Linked DNA regions of Arabidopsis thaliana. The protein of the gene in region 1 interacts with the protein of each later gene in a pairwise test. Each region holds a gene or a part of one and is shown on either strand. Other genes may lie near its edges.

Region 1 (6,580 bases):
TGGATTCATATATTGTTAACGTATCGATTACTGAAAAGATGTATACCAAATCTGTTCACTTTTTCTCTATAGACTCGATGGATGATTGAGATTTGAAGCAACAAAATACCCAGAAGATTAAACATGGAAAAGCATCAAACTTTGATGATCTTAGAACGATGACAAAAGAAAAAAAAACGTACCTTTGGATCGAAACGAAACAGCCGATTGTTGTTTTCTTTATCGCAAGGATGATGAAGAAACTTTGGGAGAGAAACAAGTGAAGCCCGTTGGTCTAGCAAGTGATTGTAAAATGTATATATGAGTCACCACCGAGATATACGGATCAAACTTTTATATTATCGTAACACTCACTACACTACCACTCAATTATTTACAAAGATTTACATCTTTTTAAAAATACTTTATTTTTTATTACGAAACATAGTTTGTGTTTTTGCGGTCACTCCTATAATCTATGTAGGATACTTGCATTACATTTTTCACAAATAATTTGGTTTGGTAGCAAGGATATGGCTCATTCAGTGAGAACAAAAAAATTGTATATCTACTCATTCATCAGTAAACCAAATTAAGAGATTGAAATATTGTATAAACTAGCTACACAATATAAGCCTTCTTTAGGCCTCTATTACTTAAGCTTGTAATAGGGAAAATGTTGTAATGTAGGCCCAAGTAGTGTGAGTAAAATCTTTAAGGCCCAGCCTAGCACCTTTGGGCATTTGGCGTTGGGCAACGAGCGCCTTCAAGTTTGAAACAAACAGAGAGAATCATTATGAAGAAACACCAAAAGACAAAACTTTCTAAGTTGTAACTTTTGTACAGTTCATCTTTTATCATTATAAACTATTTATGATCTCATCAATCAATATCCACAATTTTTAAAAAGAAGAATAAAGACAAATCCATTGCTTAATGGTTAATTAACAGTAGTAGCAGATGACATATAGACCACAAGTAGCATACACAAACAGAGACAAGAGACAAGACATGGGGTAATATGGTACAGAACCTGACATGACCAAAGAAATGTTCGGAAGGAAAATTAAAAGTCTCTTTCATAAAGATTGGAGAAGCAAACTACTAACACTAGATTTAAAGATATTGATAAAAATGTGGATGTTTTTTTTTTACCTCCAAGTCTGTCATGTAGAAGCTTCTCCTTCCAATCGAAGCCTTTTGCAGACTTTTTCATCACTTTGATTGTTTATGTTCCCAACTTGGCTCTCTTTCACTTCCATTGAACATCTCTTGTATGGCTTAAATCCTGTCTGTCTCGTTTTAAGACTCTTGCATGTTCCAACACCGATCATTACTACTCCTTCTTGGTCTGCAGCACAAGAATCCTGGCTTTTGAAATTAGGAGCCAATGGCATTGACGTGTCACTTTGTTTTCTATTCACATTCTCTGCCACTTGAGGAGGCGAAAAGCTTTGAGGCAATCTTTCTCTTGCAAAGAGAGCCTGAAACGCTATACGACCCTGAAAATATTTTGATAGTGTTAGTTCCCAGAAGAACTCTGCAATATCCATGAATCATTGGTTTTTGTTTTACCTCTTCGGAGACTTCCTTCCACGAATCAGTAGTTGCATTGTTGTTGCTGTTGTTGTCTCTCATTTTAATCTTACGGTTATTTAACTCAATAACATCTGGCTGATTCTCATCTGTCTCCTTCACATCCTCTTTATCTTTCTCCATTTTATCTAATGCATCAGTTTCTGCGTCACTCCCTGAAGGTGTATTTGAGCCACAGGATGAGCGGTCCACAAGATTTTTCTTCTGGGCAGTGTTTGAGTCATGCACAGCGGCAGTAACAACAACCTCCTCAATTTTATCATCATTGGTTTTTGAGTCGGCATTTAGCTTGGTTACTCCAGTCTCATCTGAATCATCAGATGATGAAGCTGGAGATTTCGAAGCCAAGTTTTGATCTTGCAGAGCTGTGTTTTGTTTCTCAAACGGTTGAGTATTTTCAACGGTATCCATTTCAGTCATTGCTGGAGTTGGAACTGCAACAGTTGAGAATGGAACACATGTTATTGGAGCTGGAGCGCATACAGGAAGAAGTCCATGAGAAGCCCACCAAGCAGTTGCAGCAGCTACTGTAGCAGCGGCAATGGCAGTTATACTTGGAGGAGAAGAGCTCATTGGGGTTGATGAATCACCAGAATTCCCGACACTCGCATAAGGCCAGACCGAAGCAGCGAATGTAGCTGCAGCATGAGCTGCAGGATTCTGTAGGAGAGTTGACATAATAAGATTGGAGAAAGTAGATGATATCTGGAGAAACGAACGGTAATCATCCTGTGAATGACAAGCTGGAAACGCTTGATGAGAAGCTGTAGTAGTAGCAGATGCTGTTGTAGCTTGAAGATTTGCGTGCCCGTGAGTTTCTTCTCTCATAGGATGAAACATGAAGTCTTGAGATACCATACCTGAGGGATGATTTTGAGGGCATTTTGCTATATTCCCGTTCACAATATCTGCGTGGAAATGCCAAGGGTAGTTTTGCATGCTGTGCACAGTAGTACCATCGTTACCATCTTTGTCTTTGTTCTTCTTGGGAACATCTTGAACCGCGTTGTCCACAGTTGAGGTCTTACTTGTTTCAATGTCGCCACTTACCTGCTAAAAATCAGAATGGAACAAATAATTTGTCATGCACTTGAAAGCATTCATCAGATTCTTCGACTACAATTTTGTAGCTTTCTTAGACTTACTTTCGTTGGTAAGGGATACTTGTTCACAGTAGAAACACCCGAGCAATTCTCATCTTGATTTTCTTTTCCAGTTGATGTTTTCTAACCAGAAAATAAAACATAAGAAGTCTATCACAAGACCACCAAAATGATAAAATGAAGAAGAGAAAGATCAGGAATAAACCTCAGAGAACGGCATTTTTTCCAAATCCAAGAACGCCTGATTCAACTGTGAAGAAGAGGCCGATGAAACAAGTTTTGCATCTTTTGCTGATGATACTTGAGAGGAAGATGTACCGTTGTTCCCAGGCTTTCGAGGATAAGGAGTATTGGGTTTTCGTTTAGGACGAGGAGGCGGAATTTCTATGTCCAAAGCTTGGCAAACAGGGATGCCTTTAACTTCAGCCTCTTTCTCCAACTGAAATGTGAACCAAAAACTGTGAGCTTTTCCAAACTGGAGATGGAAAAATGCAGCTCAGATGTGAAATCCTGAGATTCATGAAATTGACCACATCACCAAGGTTGAAAAAAGTCTTATACTGACCCGAATTTTTCGGGGTAGAGATGATAGAGTTACTTCATGTCCTGTCCTATAGGGCAAGGAGGTTTGGTTTCCATATGGATGGCTAAAAGAATTCATGCAATCCCATTATTTCATCGACTTTAGTGAATATGGGACAATTGTGTCATCCAAATGCAACGCTAGTTATGTTAATTTGGACCTATCTTATGGTCTCAGAGAAGAAAGCTCTCTGTAGAGTTTTTTCTAACAGTAAGTTTGGACAGACCAATCTAATGTTAAGTTTAGTTGAACAGAGTAAATGAAAAAGATAAAAAACGATCGAGATGCAATCCTCGGAACCAACCAACTCTACTTAGCAAAACACACTCTACTTAGACGCCTAATTTCTAGTTGAAGCAATTAGAGAAAAGGAAGAATAAGAAGAACCTTCTATCATCTTTTCCAGACAGTGACAGGCAACTTCTAAACATAGTCATAGATCGATATGAAAAAATGGTACCTTTACACAAGATAACGAAAGTGTTTTAAAAAGATCTGAAAGGATCATCAACTTACCTTTGTGAAGAACTTTTGTGCATGACTTCTGATCTGAACAGCAGTCTTTGTCCCAATATGTTCTGCACACAAAATGAAAAGAAAAGAAGGAATCTCCCAATCAAGAGGAGATAAAGACACTCCTAAACAAAGGAATATAAAATCTCAAAGAGTTCAAACTAAACATTCAAAAGATAAACTTTCGACCTTCAATTCGTTGCCAAGCTCTTCCATAAAGCCTCAAGGCTTCTAGAAACCTCTCATGCTCATCCTCAGTCCATCGCTCTCGCTGCTTTGTTATTGTATATGGCTTTCTTGCCTAAACATTTGAAAACCCAAAAGAAAATCAAATCTTCACACAACAACAGTCCAAATCTCTCAAACAAAAAAACACCAATCTTATTTCATTAGTAGTAGTACCTTAGCTAATAATTCTTCTCCAGATGTATTAGTATCCATAACAGGACCGGTGCAGCTATTCGCTGCTTCAAATCCTCTCTAACAAGTAAAGTATAAAAAAGAAACCATCTTTGATCTCCCCAAACATGAAAGTTTTCAAATTGCAAAGCCGTTGTGATAACCTCTTTAGATTCTAGAGAAACTGCAAAGGAGAAAGTACTTTATGAGAAATATTTATCCACAAACACTAAGATAAGAGTGATGAGCGAAATTCAAAAGAGAAATCTTTTCAAAGTCCACCGTGAAACAGTCGCTGCTTCTCCAGCAGAACTCAAAAGAATTCCCTTTATTATTATTCACAAAAGCCTCACCCAAACGAATCCACCGCAGCCAAAACCTTCACAAATCTTCATATCAGTAATCAATCACCAGATTCGTATCATTTATGCTAACTTTTAGAGCTAATAAGATTTAGTTAATCGCTTCTATAAGTTTCTCAGCAGCCAAACAGAGATCTTAGTATGTTATAGGAATCCTAGAAACTGCTCATAATGTAAACTGTTATACCCTTGAGAGTAGCCATGGAGGAGACAAGTATGCAATCTGACTTATCATCTCACCGGGAACTCCCCGGAGAAGTCATCGTTCCCGGAAATAATCAAATCGGAAGCAAAACAAAAAAAAATCTCTAAAAATAAATTTAAAAAACAGAGAGAAGAAGGAAGAAGATAACTGAAGAAGAAGAAGAAGAAGAAGAAGAAGAAGAAGAAGGAAGACTGTTTTAGGCTGAAGAAGACTGGAAGAAGAAGAAGAGAAGCCAGAAGCAATCTCAGCCACAACAATTTTTCCCCTAATTTTTGGAAAAATTTTAATTGAAAAGTTTATTTGAGGCTGGAACAGCACCAAGGGTATAAATGGAAAAAACAGAAGTCATCGCAGATCGACACGTGGTGATATTGTAGTGGCTGTCTACTGCACTTTTTGGTATATCTCAAGTTGCTTCTCTACGAGCCAGAAGCTTCAATGTGAAGCTCACGTAGGTAAAAGTGAGTGTGGTGGTCCACAATTGCTTACGTGTAAACGATTATTGGTACAAACTTGGACGACTAAACAAGTGGGTACGGTGCCAGCTGTGATGGTGTACTGCTACGTATTGGCTATGCTGGATCTGGGCTTGTAATAAGACATTGTATGGGCCTCACTTTTACGCCTATTCTATATAAATTTGCGTATTAACATAGTTGAATTAAACCCGACAAGCTTGGACTGCTCGGGGAACTTGCGTCTGTATAAAAATCTTCATCTTTTCATATAATATCATGCAATGCCTATACAAAATTTCAACAAATTATCATCGAGAACTTTGGTCAACTTGCTTATATAACATTTGTAGAAATTAAGGAACATTAATTACTCTTAAGTCTTAACCGAAGCATGTAGTATTTATTTATGGAATTCAGCAAACATCATTACACTCATTTTTTTAGATTCCAGCTTACAACTGTGTTTTGCTTAAAGCAGAAGCGTTTAACATAGTTATAGATACTCTAATGTTGGAGCAGAGCTTAGTTGCAATATTTTTTGAAGTTGACGGCCTCATCGGTCAGGAAGCCACTACAAAAGGTTACCGAGAACTTTGGTTAGTTCGGTTCGGTTCTAGGTTAACCAAAAAACAATAGACCAGTTTTTGTTACTAACCGAAGAACTGAACTACCCGAATCTAATTGAAATAACCGAAATTATTCCAAAATAACCAAACAAACCGGATTTAAATATTTCACAAATCTCTACGTTGATGTTTGGAATTATAAAATTTTATCTCTCATTACCTCTCCTTAAACATTAACTAGGACATAACAGTTATTTGAAACATACATTAACAACAATATAATTAAATTAAACGGGCGACTTAGAGTCGTTATCCTTATTAGGAGTAGTATATTGAGCTTCGTTATCCATTCCTGAAGACAATGCAGTTGATGATTCCGTTTCTTTGTTCTTCCCCCACAAGAACATGTAGAGACCCGTTATGGTCACTAGTGATCCAATCACACTGTAGACCAAAAGTTTTAATGTTGTAATTAGTGTTATGCCTAGACAAAATTAATTTGATAGAGATTATCGAAGAAGATACCTTCCAAGGTATAAAGGAGTGTGTAAAATGAGGAAATCAAATAGAGTAGCCGAAATGAGAGTAAGTGGGAAAAACGCCGATGCGAACACAGCTCCTAATTTTTTAATCCCCCATGTTGTTGCAACCGTCGTCATTGCTTGTCCTACCACTCCCTATAATATATGATAAAAAAAAACCACATAAAAAAACCCACATTAATATCTTAAGTTCTTACATACTAATCTTATAATTTTTAAAAAGTTAATTTATAAAGATATGATGTTTGTAACTTACAGCGTATATGATGACGGT
Region 2 (6,694 bases), on another chromosome or scaffold:
ACAATAAACGAAAAATGAGTCTCAATTGCAAGAGAGTCTTGCTTGATATGTAAGAAAAAAAGCATTTTCCTTAGGCCACTAAAAAATAATCAAATAAAACGCCACATTTTTTTTCTACATATATCACATTTTTAATGTGTTTTAGGACTTTATTTTGAAAACAAAATTCATCTCTTTAACATTTATAGAAATTTTTGTTTGTTTTTTTACATTAAATTACTAAATCGTATTTATTCATTAATGTTTTTTTTAATAACAGTATTTAAATAATTTCTTCTATACAAAATAGAATGTTAGGCCACATTTTAATAATTTGCCTAAAAGCTCTATTTGCCAAAAGAAGAGAAAAATTGTTTATGATTACTCAAAAATAATAATAATAAATTTATGATCCTTCTCTGATTTTAAAGAATTTTATATTTATACTATGTAACCCTCTCTCCTCTCTTCAACAAGATTCAAACCGCCAATAGCATACCACAATTTTGTTTGTAATTTGGGCAAGATTAATCACAAGATACAAATTTGAGAAACCTAATCAAGAGAATTAACAAGAGTTTACAAATAGAGAATATTCTTGTAACACTGTTTCTTCACCTCTTAAATCGAACAGTCAAATGATCAAACATATGATCATCAGAACTAATACAAACAATATTAACAGAATCGAATCTCTGAGAATAAAGGCGAAACAATACAACATCCTATTTTTAACACTTGAGAAGATAAAACAGAGCTTTGGCTCATGTTCTGTTCCAAACCTAACCGCGTCCTAGTGCTCGTTGGCTTTTGTTCTCCGAGATTTGAATCTTTCATCCACAGACTGACGACTCTTAAGATTTGATTCGTGGTTAACTTATAGTTTTGTTTACGAGTGTCTAGACGCGTCCTCATGCAACTGCGTAGTCCTCACATTAGGATCATCCTGCACAGAAATCACCATGAACTAAGATGACCAATTGATACAAACAGGAAAAAGAAAGATCTTTTATTACAACTGCAATAGTTACCCGGATGTCGTAAGAAAAATTGGCAGGCCTGAAGAAATCTACTCCCTAGAAAGAACAAAGTAAGATTTTACTTTTTTGGCAGTCTTGTTACAAGATTGACAAAACTTATGAAAGCATTGAGAATAGGTATGTAGGTACCTGTCCATGGATGCCTTGCTGAGGACCGTAGTAACTGTCGTAGCTTGGTGCTATCGAGTTCAACTGTCGCTACAGAAAACCAGCCGGAATTGTTTTTTTATCCAAAGTTAATGAAATAGAAAACAGCAGAAGCTACTTATACACATGTCATGGTCGATTTCATACCAATCCTTGCATTGTTTGTTGATTCCCATAGAAATTATCGCGAGTTGGCCCCATTAAGTTCAGCTGGACCTGTAAAAACACATATCAAAACAGATTACATACGTATCTAGATAATAATATGAACGTATGTTGTGCTTAATTACCATTCCTTGTACGCTCTGCTGTGTTCCATAATAGCTTTCAATGCCAACCGTCCTTGGGCTCAGCTTATCCTGCAATTACAAAATTCAGATATGACATACTTAGGCGACTTGTGTTTAAAAGAGGCTTGCCACGACATGTCAACAAAGACAGACCATCTGTTGCAAGCTTTCTGGCGCTGCAACTGGCATAACATCCTGCTCTGGGTTCACCTGAAATTAGTATTTGGTATCATCAAATTTGCAAAGCATAAAAGCGCAAAGCGAACAAAATCCATAAGCTGTCTGCACAGAGAGATCGTAAACAAGTAAGTTACTTTTCTTTTCTTAGTTGGATTCTTTTTCTTGCTGGTTTTGCCTGCACTTCTGCTATGGTTGTCCTCCTCCACAGAAATCAGACCTTGAGTTGGTGACGTTACAACATCTGGAAGACTTCTGCCGGAAGTATTAATACCAGCACAGTTTCCTATAGCTCCTTCAATAGCAAGGAATGCAATATTGTAACTCTCTTGAGAGAGGGATGCCTCTTCATTCAGCTTTAATGCTCGTTCGCACAAATCGTTATACCGCAGCAGCCTAGTCTGCAACTGCTGAGGTTCTCCTGAAAAATGCCGGCTTTTTGCATCTTTTGTCCACCGCTTCAATATGTACTGCGAGGGGATGGAAGAAAGATGACAACACTGAAGAACATTAAGAGTGTGTCTGCAGAGATACCCTTTATACTCAAATAACCGACAGATGCAAGAGACTTCAGCCTTTGTTTGGTTCCATGTTACCATGAAGTCTTGGTTGTTTTCAAAATCCTGCACTCTAAAAGTAGAACATGTGGCATCTCGGTTCTCCTCCCTAGGACTACACGCAATCGCACCCAAAACTTCAATCTGGAACTTTTTGAAAACTGCAGGAGTATAGACTTCAGAAACACTCTTCTCAAATGGCGATGGAGACTTCATTGCTGGCTGCTTGTTCCACATTTCAGAATCAGCTTTGGCTTCTTCTTCACATCTATCTTGCAAAACTGTATCATATACCTTTACAAATTCTTGTACACTAGTCTTCTTATGCATATACTTGTCGAAGAAAGCATTAATACTATCAGCTCGTTGAGATGTAGACATCCCAGCCAAAAGAACATCAGTCATGTAGGTTGGTGCCCATTTCTTGCGGTCTTCATATAAAGAAATCATCCATTGATCATCTTTGAGGCCGAATCTAGCAAGATTCTTATACCATTTTCTCGCAAAGTCTTCATCTTTCCCTGATTTATAGATGCACTTCTCAAACTTAGGCATAAAATTATCATGTTGCTTAACAACTTGACCAAGATTCTCAGAAACCTTCATCAATACATGCCAAAGAAAAAGGCAATGCCGTGTATTGGGGAAGATTTCGGGAACAATGGAGTTCATTACAACGTCTAGCTCAGTGATCAAAACCTTTGGAGCTTGTCCACCGATTGCTCTCAGCCAGGTCTCCATTAACCAAGAATATGTTGCTGCACTCTCATCGGATATTAAGGCGCACCCAAGGACCATATACTGGTAGTGCTGGTTCACTCCAACAAAAATAGCAAGTGGCATCTTGTACTTGTTTCTTACGTAGGTGGTGTCTAGAGAAACAACATCACAAAAACTGCCATAGTTATGCCTGCTCTTTGCATCTACCCAAAATACATTCTTCACTCGCTGATCATCGCCCAGATCTACTGCATAAAAGAAGTTGGAATTCAAGGATTGCATCCGTGACAAGAAGTCAAGCAGGATTTTGAAATCCCCTGTTTCCACTGATAAAGTCCGACCTTTTTCAAAAGAACTTTTCGAATCGCTTTTTAGACTTATAACAGTTTTGTACTCAGCAAACTGCTTAGCCATTGCAGCATATATCTTTCTGGTCTGTTCACTCACAGCTTGTGCAGGTAAAAGCTCATGATTATGCTCCCTCACAAAGCTGTGAATTACCCATTTCCCATCCGGCCTTCTCTTAACATGCATACTAGCTTTGCAATCGGTTTTCGCACATGTTCTCCTACCAGCCATATTCTCTGGATCTTGCTTACTTTGTCTAGCTCGTGGCCGATTAAAAGATTTGTCATATTCTCTTTTAGTACCATACCTAGAGCAAGCAAACTTCGCATCAATAAACTCTCTTGTAGTTTTCGATCTACGACTGTTCTGTATCGCAGTGTTAAACCCCATAGCTCGAGAATACTCCTGGTAAAACGAATACGCTTCACCGTGTGACTCAAACTCCATACCATTAAGAGGTTCAAGATTCATACCCTCAGTGTACTCAACCAACTCCCCAGTTGGAACACCCATGCCTACACTGTCATCAGTATTAACCTCAACAGAAACATCCTCAATTTTGCCAATATCCATATCTTCTTCATTGTGTAACACATTATCAAGTCCTCTATCCTCATCATCTCCTTTGCAAAGGTCACCTGAATGTAGTCGAAGATCTATATCCATGACAAACCTATAGTCTCAGGCAAAACAAACGTCTTACAACACTGCAAGACAAAATCTAGGTCTCAGTACATATATCTAGGTCAAAATGTATACTAAAGTCACACACAAAAGATGTAACAAACCAGAGAAACCCATCAAAATTCAATCTTTCTATGATGATAAATCGAGAAAGTATACACATTTTGCCCTTACAATTGCAGAAAAAAGCAACTTGCAGCTAAATTCTTAGTGGGTATTTCATCACATAAACGAAATCCTCAAATCCAATTCCTAAAACGAAGCTGATCAAAACTACTGTATAACCCAATCATTTGTGTTGGTTATCACTATAAAACAAAAACAAAAAATAAAAATGAAAACTTTACCTCGTACGAAACAGAAGATATACGAATCGGAGCAGAAACTGAGAAAAGGCCGTCTCTTTTTAATCTCTTCGTCGTCGAGAGGAGGAAGAAGAAGAAGACAACACGCGCCAATCGGGTGCGAGTTGGGGTATCGATCTGCGAAAAGGAGATAGAGAAGAAGAAGAGAGAAAGAGAAGAAAAATTGGTGAGTGGTGTTCACGCGATCTGAGGAAGCGAGTGGGCGGAAGATCCACGATTCGTTCTTTTGGTGTCTAGGGTTTCTTCTTCTTCTTCTCTCTGTCTAAACGCATCACCATGTTTTTTGATAATAATAATATCTCTATCCATTTATTTATGTTATTAATAAAATAAAATTAGAAAGAAAAAAAAAAACTGTTTTTGTTTGAAATTTTGTGCAACGCGCATGCCAAAACAAAAATTGGAGGGAAGCGTGAATAATGGGAATGATGAGATTTACTTACATCTATAAGAGTAGACTTGTTTAGGCTTTTAAAATTTGTTTGGTCCACTCTAAGACTAAGACTTGTTTGAATTATTTTATTTTGTATTTCTAAGTATTTACTATGGTGAAAACTGAAACATTACGGTGAATTACAAAAAAAAATCATAGTAAACTATTCAAAATATTTTTTTGTTATTTACAAACTATCAGTTTTGAATTTGGACTATATATATATATATATATTAGTAAATGCTTTTACCAACTTTCAATAGCCAAGAGCCAATTGGTATGACTATTTCAGAATTGGATTAATTTATTATATTTGATCCAAAATAAAAAGATCAATAGCCGTCCAAAAAAATAAATAAATCAATAGCCACTCATTAGCATGAGTCACTGTTCTTTTTAATTTTGTACATATAGATTAGCTCAGTCTTAAAAACCATAGTTATAATTAGTCCCACTAATGTTAAAAAGTTTGGTAAAAAAAAAATTATTTCCTAACTTTTTTTTACATATTAGCTACAATAAAATAAATACCATTTTTGGAAATATTTTATGAATTCAAAATAAATTTCATAAAATATCATAATCAATAGCCAATAGCCAGTTGGTAATTTACTATTTCCGACATGATTTAATTTAATACAGCATATATTTTTTGACAAAAAGCCAGCCAATATCCTGAAATTTAATTATAATTATGCCAAAATTATTTATAATACCAAAATTATTTATAATTAATTATCCACTAATGTAAAAGTTGGGTCAACCATTTGGACTTAATTAAGACTAAACCTGCCACAGTAACAGAGAGAGACGATATTTTCTCAGTCCCTTTCCCTTTTCAACGAGCAACAACACTCTTCACTTAATCGCTCCGGCGGTGGCGAACGGCAACGTGACGGTGACGTTGTCGGAAAATTAGAGTTTGTTTATCTTTGCTTATTGTTGTTGGAGAAGAAGGTATGGTGAGGAAACACGGTTGGCAACTTCCCGCTCACACTCTTCAGGTAAAATCGAATGTAACCTTTCTCTATAGCCAAAGCTTCAATTTTTCATGAATCTGCTCAATCTAAAGTCACCAATGGCTGTGATTTCAATTGGGTTCTGTGTATTTTTCTTCTCAGGTGATTGCAATTACGGTGTTTTGCTTGTTGGTGGTCGCTTTCTATGCTTTCTTCGCTCCTTTTGTTGGAGGTCGTATTTGGGAATACGTTTTGATCGGTGTTTACTCTCCCGTGGTATGTTTAATGCTTCTCAAGCTAGTAGTGTTTATGATCAGAATCAATTTTGCAAATTCATAACGAGTTTTGGATTCCACAGCTGTGTAGTTTATGGCATTGATCTTATCTGATAGGTTCCTTTATGTATCGTGTGTGTTTTTGCAGGCTATTCTTGTGTTTGTTTTGTATGTTCGGTGTACTGCAATCAATCCTGCGGATCCGAGAATCATGTCGATATTTGATACAGGCGTGAATGGAGATGGCATGGTTCGTGGCTTATCAAGGAATTATGATGAAACTGGTAGTCAGTTGCAGGCTTCTCCTTCGGTTGTCAGTAGGAGTTCTACCGTGGCTGGAAACTCTAGTGTGAAAGGTTCTGTAGAAGATGCTCAAAGAGTGGAATCTGTAAGTAGAAGATCTTGCTATAATCCTCTGGCAGTTTTCTGTTATGTGTTTGTTGTGGAAGACTGCCGGAAAAAGGAAGGGCCGGCGGAAGAACAAGGAAACAGCGAAGAGGCTCTGTTTTGCACATTGTGCAATTGTGAGGTACTAAGCTTCAGAATTCTACATCAAGTCTCCATGGTTATATTTGTCATGTGTATGGTCTTTAATATGAAAAGTAAATGATGTATGAGCAGTTAATAATAACTAAAATTTCTTGGTCTTTATCTTCTAGAATCTGCTTTAAGAAGTCTTTAGGGAAAGCAATTTGGTTCAGATTTTAGATGTGTACTCAA
Region 3 (3,169 bases), on another chromosome or scaffold:
TAAAACTCAAGCCAAAAACAAAGAACAAGAAGATGTGTTGTGTCCAACAAACATCAACCCTAACTCTCATTGTTCTTATATCAAAAGTCTTGCCTTAAAATCAGAACCTTCCGAATCGAAATATCTGAACCCTCTGACCTAACAATAGAATAGATACATTGGAAGCTACCAATAGAAATATCCGTAGAGATGTCTTGTGTTTTTCTATCATGTCTTGAGAAAACCAATGAGTATATTCTTGAAAAATGGAGATGAAGGATTAAAAGAAAGCTAACGAGCTTGTTGTAGATTTTTTTTGTTCTCTTTTAGAAAATCTTGAAATGTTGACGTTGAGATCAAAAGTTGGAAAGTTGAAAAATGAGAGACTTGCGTGAAAGAAGAGAGTTGAGAAGGGTCATCATGGAAGGAGGTCCAGATTTCTAGCAAATGAAAAAAAAAATGGGTGAGAAAAATGATTGGTTTCTTAATTATAACTTATTTCCAAAAATAGAAATAACTATATTGGAGGAGCATGACAAATGATGATTCTTTGGATTTCATGAGAAATTTTTGTTTATTTAAATAGTGTTGCTTAATGATTTCAAGCATTACTAAAAAATCACAAATCAATAGTGAGAAAAACAATATAAACATTATAAACATATGGCATTATTTTTTAATCAATTTGTTTCCAAAACCAAATAATAAGATTATCAAACAATATTATTAGTTGTTTAGTGGCAAAATAACATTACCAAACTAAACAACATGATTTGACTAAATTATCCTTATCTGTTACCTCCTAAACTTTTAAAATCCTAATTTTAACACTCTAAATCAAAAGCCTAATTTTACTAATGGTGACGGCGTCTACGTTCCTCCTCCTCCGCGATCTCAACCTCAGATTCCGCCGTCGTGGTCATCGGCTCTAAAAGCATCGCTGTGAACGGCATATGACTGTAACCATTCACCGGATACTGAATTCCGATTGGCTGACAAAGATCCAACCTACAACTCGGCGATTGTGGCGTTTGCGTTTGCGTTTGCGGCGACGTCATCGACGACGACGACGAGGAATCGTCCGCCGCAACATCAACCCAATTCGAAATGAGCTTAGTCCCGTAGCCAGTGGCGGCAATAATCGACGGTTCAGCTTGACTAAGAAGCCATTCGATGGTTTCTCCTTCAGTTTTGTGACCGAGCTCACGCGTTAACTGGAAAATCCTAGCGGCGGCGAGAGCCGGCATCGTAACTCGACGGCTTCGTCCGTTAACCTTCGTGTGACGGTCTTTAGTCCTGGCGGAGATACATCCGCCGCCGCTCGAGGAGGATTTCGAAACACCGAACTGCGTTTGGGAACGCGATTCGGAAGCTATAGCGTTGAAGTTGGACTCATTTCTGCACACATTCTGAAAAATCATCTCCGAATTCGTCGATTTTGTAAACTAATTTCAGTGACGATGAACAAGGATTCACAGAGAGAATCTTAGGGTTACTAAAGGAGGGAGAAGAAGATGATTCGAATTAACTTTTGGATAATTTGGGCTTTTAAGCCCAATATAAGGCCCAACATGATCCACTCTGTAGGAAAAAAAAAAAGGGAGAGAGAACAAAATCTGACTTCCATGGCAACAAACAAGTTTTAATTTTTACAAAAAAAAAATTGGGAGTGTGTGTGTCGCCTTATCTGTTCGTCATGGCTCTGTAGAGTAGCCTCATGTTCTTATTCTTCTTCTTCCTTAGCCATTCGTGGAAGCAAAAACAGAGTCTTTTATTCTTTGGTGATTCTGTGAAATGGAAGCTACGAGGAACTTGGTTTCTTCATCTCCTTCGTTTCAGACAAAGACTCATCTCAAGAGCAGCTACTCTTCTCCTTCCTCTGGTACTTCTTATTCAGCTACTCTTCATATAGAAATATTGTGTCTTTGCTGGATTTGTCTCTGTTAGTTACTGGAATTTGAAGTTCATGGATTTCAATTTGAAATTAGTGTATGTATACGAGTTTGTGTTAGCATTTTCTGATTTGTTTTTGTTCGTTTGTTGGTATTTCTGTAGTAGTGATGCTTCATGATCAAACAACAACTCCTGTTGTTAACTCACGTCATCTCAATTCTCTATCTCGACATTTTCCTGCGTCGGTTCTCTCACAGGAGCCACGGGAAGAGTCTAGGCCTCTGTCACATGCGTTAAGAGACGATAGAACATCCCAGGTGTGTTTTATTAGCAGCAATATTGTCCTAAGAGATTGAATCAATCATAAAGTTGTCAACTTTCTAGTCCTCTTGTTTAATGCGATTGGGTTCCTTGCATTTTTAGTTGACTCTGGAGAGGAGGCAGTTTGATGAATTGGTTTCATCTCGAGAAGATGAGAAATTTGAACAGCAACTTCTTCACTCTACTGGTTTATGGAATTTGTAATGTCTCTTCCTCTCTTAAACCCACCAGTTTCAGTTTTCATACAACCTTTTGAGTTTTCTGAATGATGTAGCCTTTCTTTTGTTTGCAGATTAATATCTCCTTTAACATCTGAAACGAAATTGCCGGCAGTTGTGTCTCCTTTAGCTGATGCAGAGCTTTGTGATGTGGTTGCACTAGCTCAGAAGGCTTTATCAGCTTCAAAACAAGCTGCATTGTTAGTTGATGACACTGAAGCAAATCCATCTGACAACATCAAGGATTCTCTCTCCACTAGGTTGCTTTTTTTAACCTTGTTTGTGTATCTTATCAATCTGCTACTTGTGGGCTGTAATGTGAAAAGATTTGTATTTCTGGATGTTTGGTTTTAGCTCTTCTATGTCCTTACCGGAAAAGGGAAACATAGTAAGATCGAAGCGGCAGCTAGAGAGACGAGCAAAGAACAGACGGGCTCCAAAATCAAACGATGTGGACGATGAGGGTTATGTTCCTCAGAAAACTAGTGCGAAGAAAAAGTATAAACAAGGGGCTGATAATGATGATGCGCTTCAGCTCTTCTTGTGGGGACCTGAGACAAAACAACTTCTGACTGCTAAAGAAGAAGCTGAGCTGATATCACATATACAGGTTCATGCTTTCCTTATTCATGTGTCCTTGGACTTCCTTCTTGTCCCTGGTGCTAACTTCCATAATCTTTGATCTATCAGCATTTATTAAAGTTGGAGAAGGTAAAGACTAAACTTGAATCTCAAAACGGCTGCGAACCAACAATAGG
Region 4 (6,862 bases), on another chromosome or scaffold:
GCGGATATCTACTGCAACCAATCCTAATGCAGAAGAATCTGCAGATCTCTTGAGGTATGAATAACCCTTGCCCTCTTCTTCATTCTTTAGTATAAATTTGCACAATGTGAGCTTGATTAGGATTTCTATGATGAGTTTAGGATGTGTGTGCAATGCGGTGTACCGAAAACATATACAAGCGCAAGAGGAATGGTATGCCCGATTTGTGGTGACCGGCCATTACCGGACGTAGACGCGAAGAAGAAAGGCTCTACGATCAAAGATAAAGAGAAGAGCAAAAGAATGAGAGGACAATCTTCTCACGCTTCTTGGAAAAGTGAAACCGAGATGCAGCTTAGGCAAACTTTCGATTAGTGTTTCTTTTACCTTTTACTACATTTGTACCATCCAAATCCAATTTCTGTAACGTAGCTTGTGACACAAAGGTTAATCTTATAATTTGCTTCGGAATGTCTAATTTCATCATTATTGAAATATATATATTTATGAGATCATCAAATATTTATTGGAAAATAAAACCCTAAAATTCGCTATTTTGAAAAAAAGAGAGTAAATACACAGCAGAATATTTTATCGCATTACAAAACGAACTAACATCTTTATCTACAGAATTGCTATGTCTCTACTTCTTCCTCTACTTAACAACTTGAACAGATTACAAAGGTAAAGAACATATCTTAAAGACCTGGTTCGAGCAACCAGGTGTACAATCAGGTTCGAGCAACCAGGTGTACAATCAGGTTCGAACCGAAATCTAGACCAGAAAGTTATCTCAACACATAAATACAACTGTGTTACAAAATCCATGATTCTAATGAAGAAGCAGTCAGGATTTTAGTAACTAACCTGAGCAATTTCGCTTAGCCAAAATCGAGATTAGTGTTAACAACAATATCTCGAATGCTTCAGCAATGAAAGAGCCAGTTTTATTTGACATCATTAATTGTTGTCACTTGTTACAACTTCTGCTTCGGGTCTAAGTTCTGTAGTTTCCTCTTGTTTCTCTATCCTCAGGCTCGGACTACTATTGGGCTGAGGAATCTGTGTAGATAGTGATGGGTAAAATGAGGCACTGTGTTTTGCACATTAAATGGCGGTGTAAGAATCGAAGGTTTAACTTACCATTGGATGAGATTTATAAGACAGAACATTGTTATCGGATGAAAGAGATGAGTCTGAGGGCCTGTGAAACAGCAAATGAGCTATCGATCGATCTATCGGGTTTGTATCAGTTTCGATATCCATGAATCCAGCATACCTGGATGAGACCACATACAGATATCAAAGATTAGAATCTAAGAGAAATGAAGGACGAGTACAAGAGCCCAAGTGGAAGTTTCTAAAGAAGAGAGTTACTAAATCTGTCAAGACTCGAGTCTAATCCTATATAAAGTTATAAGTTGGCATCAAGAACTTTACTTAGCAACAGGTGATAAAGGGTGAACATATTGAATAATTATGTAGGATGTGGTGCTTACTTGTCTGCTTCACCAGTCACGAGATGCGAGCCTGCGCCTTTCTCCGGTCTGTTTCCACCATGATGTCTCTGTTCCGCACTTTTTGCTAATCGGTATAAGCTGTCTCTTATGCAAAGCTTTGTCCTAACATCCAACTGGAGCAAGCAAGTGTATTATCAACCAAGTAAGCAAATGTATATGTAAATTTATTAACATATATACACTTTGATATCAATCACAAAGGAACAGCAAACTTTTACCGATTCCCAGGAAGCCTTTTCCTTATATCAACAATTATCTATTGACAAGTTGTACCTGTTCTATAACTTGTTGAAGCTGGCGAAAACTTGTTGCTTCCAGTGAAATGTCATCCACAACAGAGCTAACACAAGAACTTCCCTGCATATTTGATGTTTCCAATTCAGTTGCAGCTTTTCTGTGGTCATTCTCAAGCCCAATCTTCTGGATAGGAGCAGCATCAGGAAACACCATGGAGTCTGTCTTACTACTCTTCTTGGTATTTGCAGCAAAAGAAGGAGGCATATCTTGCCCAGGCAGCAAGTTGGCTCTCGTTTCAAAGACCTTCCTAAACCGATCATCAACAGTTGGACCTTGTAAGCTCTCGATTGATTGTGCATGATTTGATGTGTATGACTCATTTGAAGCAGAGGAAGGACTGGGTTTGTTCTCAGATTTAATACCAGATTTACTTTCACATGCTGATACTTGAACGGAAGGCTGCTCACAATTGAAATGCGAGTATGGCACATCTCGCTGTTGGAATGCGGAGGGAGGGTAATACTGGTTGGTATCCATTATTTCCCTTGAAATACCACTGTGCTGTAAAGTAAAACTGTTCTCCGAGAACCCATCACTTTTCCCATCCAGATGATGAAGATGATCAGTCTGCTTCTTCTCAAGATTTGCCTGTATAACAAAAATTTGTACTGATATGAAATTGCTGGAATAGTGTCAAGATTTCAACAGTACAAATACTTATCTAATAGAATATCCACTTGCCCTTAACGAAACCATAAACCACCATTGTAAAAAGCGTCATATCATAGTTAGAGGATTTAACTGAGGAAAACGTGCAACTAAATAAGTCATCATAGAAGGTAACATCCCATGTAGTTAATGGTTGCATGTGCCTTGGAAGGCGCAAACAATTCTGAAATAAGAAATTGACTAACCTCTACATCCAGCATCAATATATCCTTCTTTTGCAAACTTGTATCGAATACATTTTGTGATGATTTTCCTTGAGCTGAATCGTCCTCAATAGTATATCCATACTCATCTTCAACAGCATGGTTGGGCTCACTGTTGTTCAAAAAGTCTTCAACCTGCAACATAGCGGTTCTTTGATTTTCCAACATTTTGTCTGGTTTGAGATCATCTGTCATCGCGCCTGCTGTCTCCTCATTTGGCTGGGCAGAAGAGAACCACCCTAAGTCACCTTCATTATTAAGACTATCCAAGCCGAATGTTGAATCACAACTCCTGTGCGTCCAATAAACGAGTGTAGGCTCAGACAAATGTTACCATGTTTCTCCCATAAGCAATGATCCCCAATGTGATAAGAATATATAGAAAAGAGAATATCTAAAATGTTACCTAAGCATGTTGTCCACATCCTCAAAATTTCCTATGTCACCCCAGCCATAGAAGAGATCATTTTTTTCTTTATCTCCATTGTCGAAAAAGCTAAGATCATTTTCAGCATCCGGAATGCTGTTGAGGGAATAATTATATACGCCATCATTCGTTGCAGCGGAAGTGTCACACAACATGGGATCCCCAGTGGAGAAATTTTCAACCACATCTACGTGGCCACCATTGAAACCATGATCTGAAGTATTTGTATCCTCCAATGTCATATCCTGAACATCTTTTCCTGTTCCCGTATCACGAGAAACCGAAGAGCCACCACTATCTTTCTCAGGCCATGGATTTTTTCCTAACATGTTTGCCTCTCTCTTGATAAAAGTATTACTCTTTAGATGGTTTGTTCCACTACCCATATCATCATTTCTTCGTTTCTTCCTGTTACTAACTAGAATTGGAAACTGACCTCCATCCTCATACGCTGAGTCTGGCACTATACCATCATCGTTCCCATGAAATTCATCCGAAAGATAATCGCCTAGCTGAAAGGAAAAGAAAGGAAAGAAAACTTCAGCCACCAATTAGAAATCCACATTACCAAGTCAAAGAAAAAAATGACTAGGGAAACATCAAACCGAGTAGACTAACAAAGTATCCCCAATCCTGCACAGAACACATCCAAGTGGTAGCGATAACAAGAAGTAAAATATGAGATGCAAGAACTGTCCTATATTTTAAACGATTTTGAACCCAATAAAAAAAGGAAATTTCACAACAGTTCATTTTCCGGGAACATACGACAAGAGCAACAACGAAAGATCTAAATCCATAGTCTCATAGAAAAAAGATACACACACATATATGATTGTGACTCCACTCACCTCATGAATGTACAAGTCCGACATTCCTCCCAACTTCAGACTCTTTAATCACCACTAAAATCATGCACATTACCCCGATATGTCATCTCTATTGCAAAACATGTAACTCCCACAAACACTATTTCTGGTTCTGGATAGGAAATATAAATATATTAAACAGCTTCCAATAATAGAGAAATCGAACCCAGCATATAAGAAAACTTGACTTTTCTTATCCAGAATCAAATCCCATGAAACCCGAAATACATGTAATCCAAACCCTAAGAGTTAACCCATTCTTTCAACTATTCATGAATTCCAGAAATTAGACTCAAATTCTACAGCCAAAAAGTCAAATCTCATAGCAAGTAGCACAAAAACAAAGTAGGAGAAAAATCAGATAGTAGGATTCAACCATTTTATGCTCGTAATTTCTAGCAAAATCGAGTTAAACTATCATTATTAAACCGAGAGTTTACAAAAACAACTAAAATCCAGTGAAATGAGGCATTCAATGAAACTAACTGCAACAAAAAAAAAAACAATCAAATCTGAGAAATCCTCAGCTACCGCTGCTATGGAAACACTGAGGATAAGAACCAAATTTTCTAATTAAATTCAATCGAAATAGATTCCATCAAAGCCGAACGAAATAAGCTCACCTGTGAGACAGATTCTTCCACTAGCAACTCCAGAAAACTCCACAGATAAAATTGTTTACCAGAAAACAAAAAACTCAGCAGATAGAAGAGATTGTATCAATTCATCGAAGCTAGATCGAAAAAAAAAACTGTGTAGGACTTTCTAGAGATGTTCGGCAGAAGACGATGAAGGCTTCCTATTTTTTTTTTTTTGACAAACATTTTAAATTTTAATTAAACTATTGTTTTTGTTTCGGGAGAATCAAAAGACAAGTGACCATGATATCAACACGTGGCAACTAAATCAAAAGGTTTAACAGGCTTGGGTTTTTAATATCAGAATTCGTGGACGAGAGAGCAGTGTGAGATCCTATCAGTTCCAGTTTTATTATTGGTACACGTCATTAGTACCTTCTCGAAACTGGGCACGCCTCATCTTCTTATTGGCTTACATCGTAATGATGACATCAGCCTTTATTTACGTATAACAAATTACCATGCGGTTAAAAAAAACAATAGTTATATGGGCCGAAGAAAGCCCAAAGAATCTTTAGTTGTTTTTCCGATCGATCTGCGAGTCGAGTAGTTTTTTTATTTGCCGGCGCCGGGAGAGATCCTTTGATCTTTTTCCGATGGAGGAGCAATTCGGCGGGAGCGATGAGAGATGGAAAGGATCATTGGAGAATATAACGGAGATGGCATCGAATCTCGATTCGCTTCAGAAACTTCTCCTCAAGAAAGCAGTCTTCGTTGAAGAAGACACTTTCTCTAGAGCTTCTCTCGTCTCCGAGCAAGCCCGAACAATCAAGGTTAATCCTTTTTCCTGTGATAAAATTTGAAATTATAGAGCTTAATTGTCTGAATTTTGAGCTTCTTTTCTTTGACTTTGATGATTGCTTCTGTGATTTGTGGATTCGATCTAGTTGATCACGATCGCACTTTTTAGTTTGCTTTAGTACTACTATAGCTCAGTGTAATAGTGTGATTCTGGAATTGCATTTGACGGTGAATTTGGGAACTTGTAGTTGATCATAAATTTTGAATCTTCGATTTTGTGATCTGTTAATGGTACAAATGATCACCAAATCCTTGAAGACTGGACTTGAGGTTTCACTATGAAAACTCCCAAGTGCAATTATGTGTATTAAGTAGAAATTCTTCATGTTGTAAGTAAAAAAGGACTGTGTTACATGTTTGAGATAAGGGATAGTTTCAGATTGTCTCTTAACTCTGTTCAATGGTTTGTTTTAGGTTCTTGAGCAAAGAGTACAAACACTAGAAAGAGAACTAGATGCTGCCATTACAGCTGCTGCTCATGCTCGGTCTGAGAAACGCCAAGCTGAGTCCTCTCAAAAGGCTGCTGAATCACGTGCCCAAGATGTCACAAAAGAGCTTGAAAACACCACAAGTATGCACTTGATAATCACTTCTTGAGTTGATGCCTGGTGGCACCATTCTCTCCCGCACGTTTATCTGCGTTCCAGTTTCATATTCACTCTCACTCACTGACTTATACAACTCTTGGTTTCAGAGGTTTTCAAGCTGCATATGGAAGAGCTTCGAGGAATGCAAGAACAGATATCCAAACGCGATAACGAGATCAAACTCTTAGAAGCTATAATCCAAACGCTCGGCGGCAAAGAGCGGTTGGGAAAAAGCGACGTGAATGGATGATGATGATGCGTTTTTTCACTTGTAAAGGTTTGTACTCCTGAGTTTGTGGAGATGTATCACTTCGAAGATAAATGTATTTTTGTCTGTCTATTTGGTACGTTTTAGAATCTTGCCTGTTCTTTCAAGAAATGAATGTTACATGGGCCTGACCCTATAAATGGGCCTAATGTGAATCGATCGATACTAAAAATGGGTTTTATAGGTGTGTGTGTGTGGTTTTCACACGTTTGCCGCCGATAGTGCTGCGATGCCATCCAGATTCAGTAACGCGGCATCTCCAGGACTCCAGCCGTGTGGAGCAAGAAACTACGTAAATTTGACAGCTGAAGATGCAATTTCACAAAAAGAGAATAAAAGAAACAAAAGAGGATTATGACCAATTTAGAAAAAACTTTTTTCAAAAAAGTGATGCTTCATGGTTTTTAGCGTGTGGGGTGTCTCTCTATATTATCTAATTTTTTGGTAGAAACTAGTGTACAATATCTAATTTTGATAAAATACCAATGAAGGAAGTTTTGACTATTTCTGATTGCTTTATTTTTGTTTGCTTTGTTATAGTATATACAAGCATATAATTTTTATTTTTAAGGCTCGATTAAGTAAGGTAAGAAAAATGAGGATT

Evidence for each region.
Region 2: the proteins of LHY (region 1) and FHY3 interact in a two-hybrid assay, tested with the Arabidopsis thaliana proteins (one study listed by BioGRID).
Region 3: the proteins of LHY (region 1) and AT2G37000 interact in a two-hybrid assay, tested with the Arabidopsis thaliana proteins (one study listed by BioGRID).
Region 4: the proteins of LHY (region 1) and AT5G64170 interact in a protein complementation assay, tested with the Arabidopsis thaliana proteins (one study listed by BioGRID).

The regions. Positions count from the first base shown.
Region 1 is NC_003070.9:32,847-39,426, forward strand, and holds LHY (Homeodomain-like superfamily protein), read right to left. Parts: upstream 4,912-6,580; 5' UTR 4,723-4,911; exon of another isoform or gene 4,553-4,722; 5' UTR 4,527-4,552; exon of another isoform or gene 4,358-4,526; 5' UTR 4,216-4,357; coding exon 4,177-4,215; intron 4,076-4,176; coding exon 3,964-4,075; intron 3,840-3,963; coding exon 3,778-3,839; intron 3,326-3,777; coding exon of another isoform or gene 3,244-3,325; intron 3,154-3,243; coding exon of another isoform or gene 3,118-3,153; coding exon 2,884-3,117; intron 2,802-2,883; coding exon 2,721-2,801; intron 2,629-2,720; coding exon 1,555-2,628; intron 1,482-1,554; coding exon 1,146-1,481; 3' UTR 1,135-1,145; exon of another isoform or gene 816-1,134; intron 744-815; 3' UTR 533-743; downstream 1-532. Other genes in the region: UMAMIT28 (nodulin MtN21 /EamA-like transporter family protein), read right to left, coding at 6,052-6,208, 6,290-6,441, 6,563-6,580. UniProt on the Arabidopsis thaliana protein: Transcription factor involved in the circadian clock. Binds to the promoter region of APRR1/TOC1 and TCP21/CHE to repress their transcription. Represses both CCA1 and itself.
Region 2 is NC_003074.8:7,821,491-7,828,184, forward strand, and holds FHY3 (far-red elongated hypocotyls 3), read right to left. Parts: upstream 4,707-6,694; 5' UTR 4,290-4,706; intron 3,966-4,289; 5' UTR 3,925-3,965; coding exon 1,771-3,924; intron 1,667-1,770; coding exon 1,610-1,666; intron 1,526-1,609; coding exon 1,457-1,525; intron 1,383-1,456; coding exon 1,314-1,382; intron 1,218-1,313; coding exon 1,149-1,217; intron 1,056-1,148; coding exon 1,011-1,055; intron 926-1,010; coding exon 869-925; 3' UTR 507-868; downstream 1-506. Other genes in the region: AT3G22180 (DHHC-type zinc finger family protein), read left to right, coding at 5,700-5,744, 5,862-5,975, 6,123-6,503.
Region 3 is NC_003071.7:15,538,621-15,541,789, reverse strand, and holds AT2G37000 (TCP family transcription factor), read right to left. Parts: upstream 1,545-3,169; 5' UTR 1,401-1,544; coding exon 834-1,400; 3' UTR 542-833; downstream 1-541. Other genes in the region: NAP12 (non-intrinsic ABC protein 12), read right to left, coding at 1-70; SIGF (RNApolymerase sigma-subunit F), read left to right, coding at 1,774-1,861, 2,035-2,189, 2,296-2,393, 2,486-2,671, 2,766-3,021, 3,102-3,169.
Region 4 is NC_003076.8:25,671,965-25,678,826, forward strand, and holds AT5G64170 (dentin sialophosphoprotein-like protein), read right to left. Parts: upstream 4,860-6,862; 5' UTR 4,588-4,859; intron 4,077-4,587; 5' UTR 3,971-4,076; coding exon 3,947-3,970; intron 3,608-3,946; coding exon 3,075-3,607; intron 2,961-3,074; coding exon 2,651-2,960; intron 2,385-2,650; coding exon 1,773-2,384; intron 1,613-1,772; coding exon 1,479-1,612; intron 1,259-1,478; coding exon 1,123-1,258; intron 1,042-1,122; coding exon 940-1,041; 3' UTR 847-939; exon of another isoform or gene 755-846; 3' UTR 502-754; downstream 1-501. Other genes in the region: AT5G64160 (plant/protein), read left to right, coding at 1-54, 141-354; AT5G64180 (tropomyosin), read left to right, coding at 5,199-5,375, 5,818-5,974, 6,098-6,240. UniProt on the Arabidopsis thaliana protein: Transcriptional coactivator necessary for expression of the clock genes PRR5 and TOC1. Antagonizes REV8 function in the regulation of anthocyanin accumulation. Involved in red light input to the clock. Activates clock-controlled genes with afternoon peak.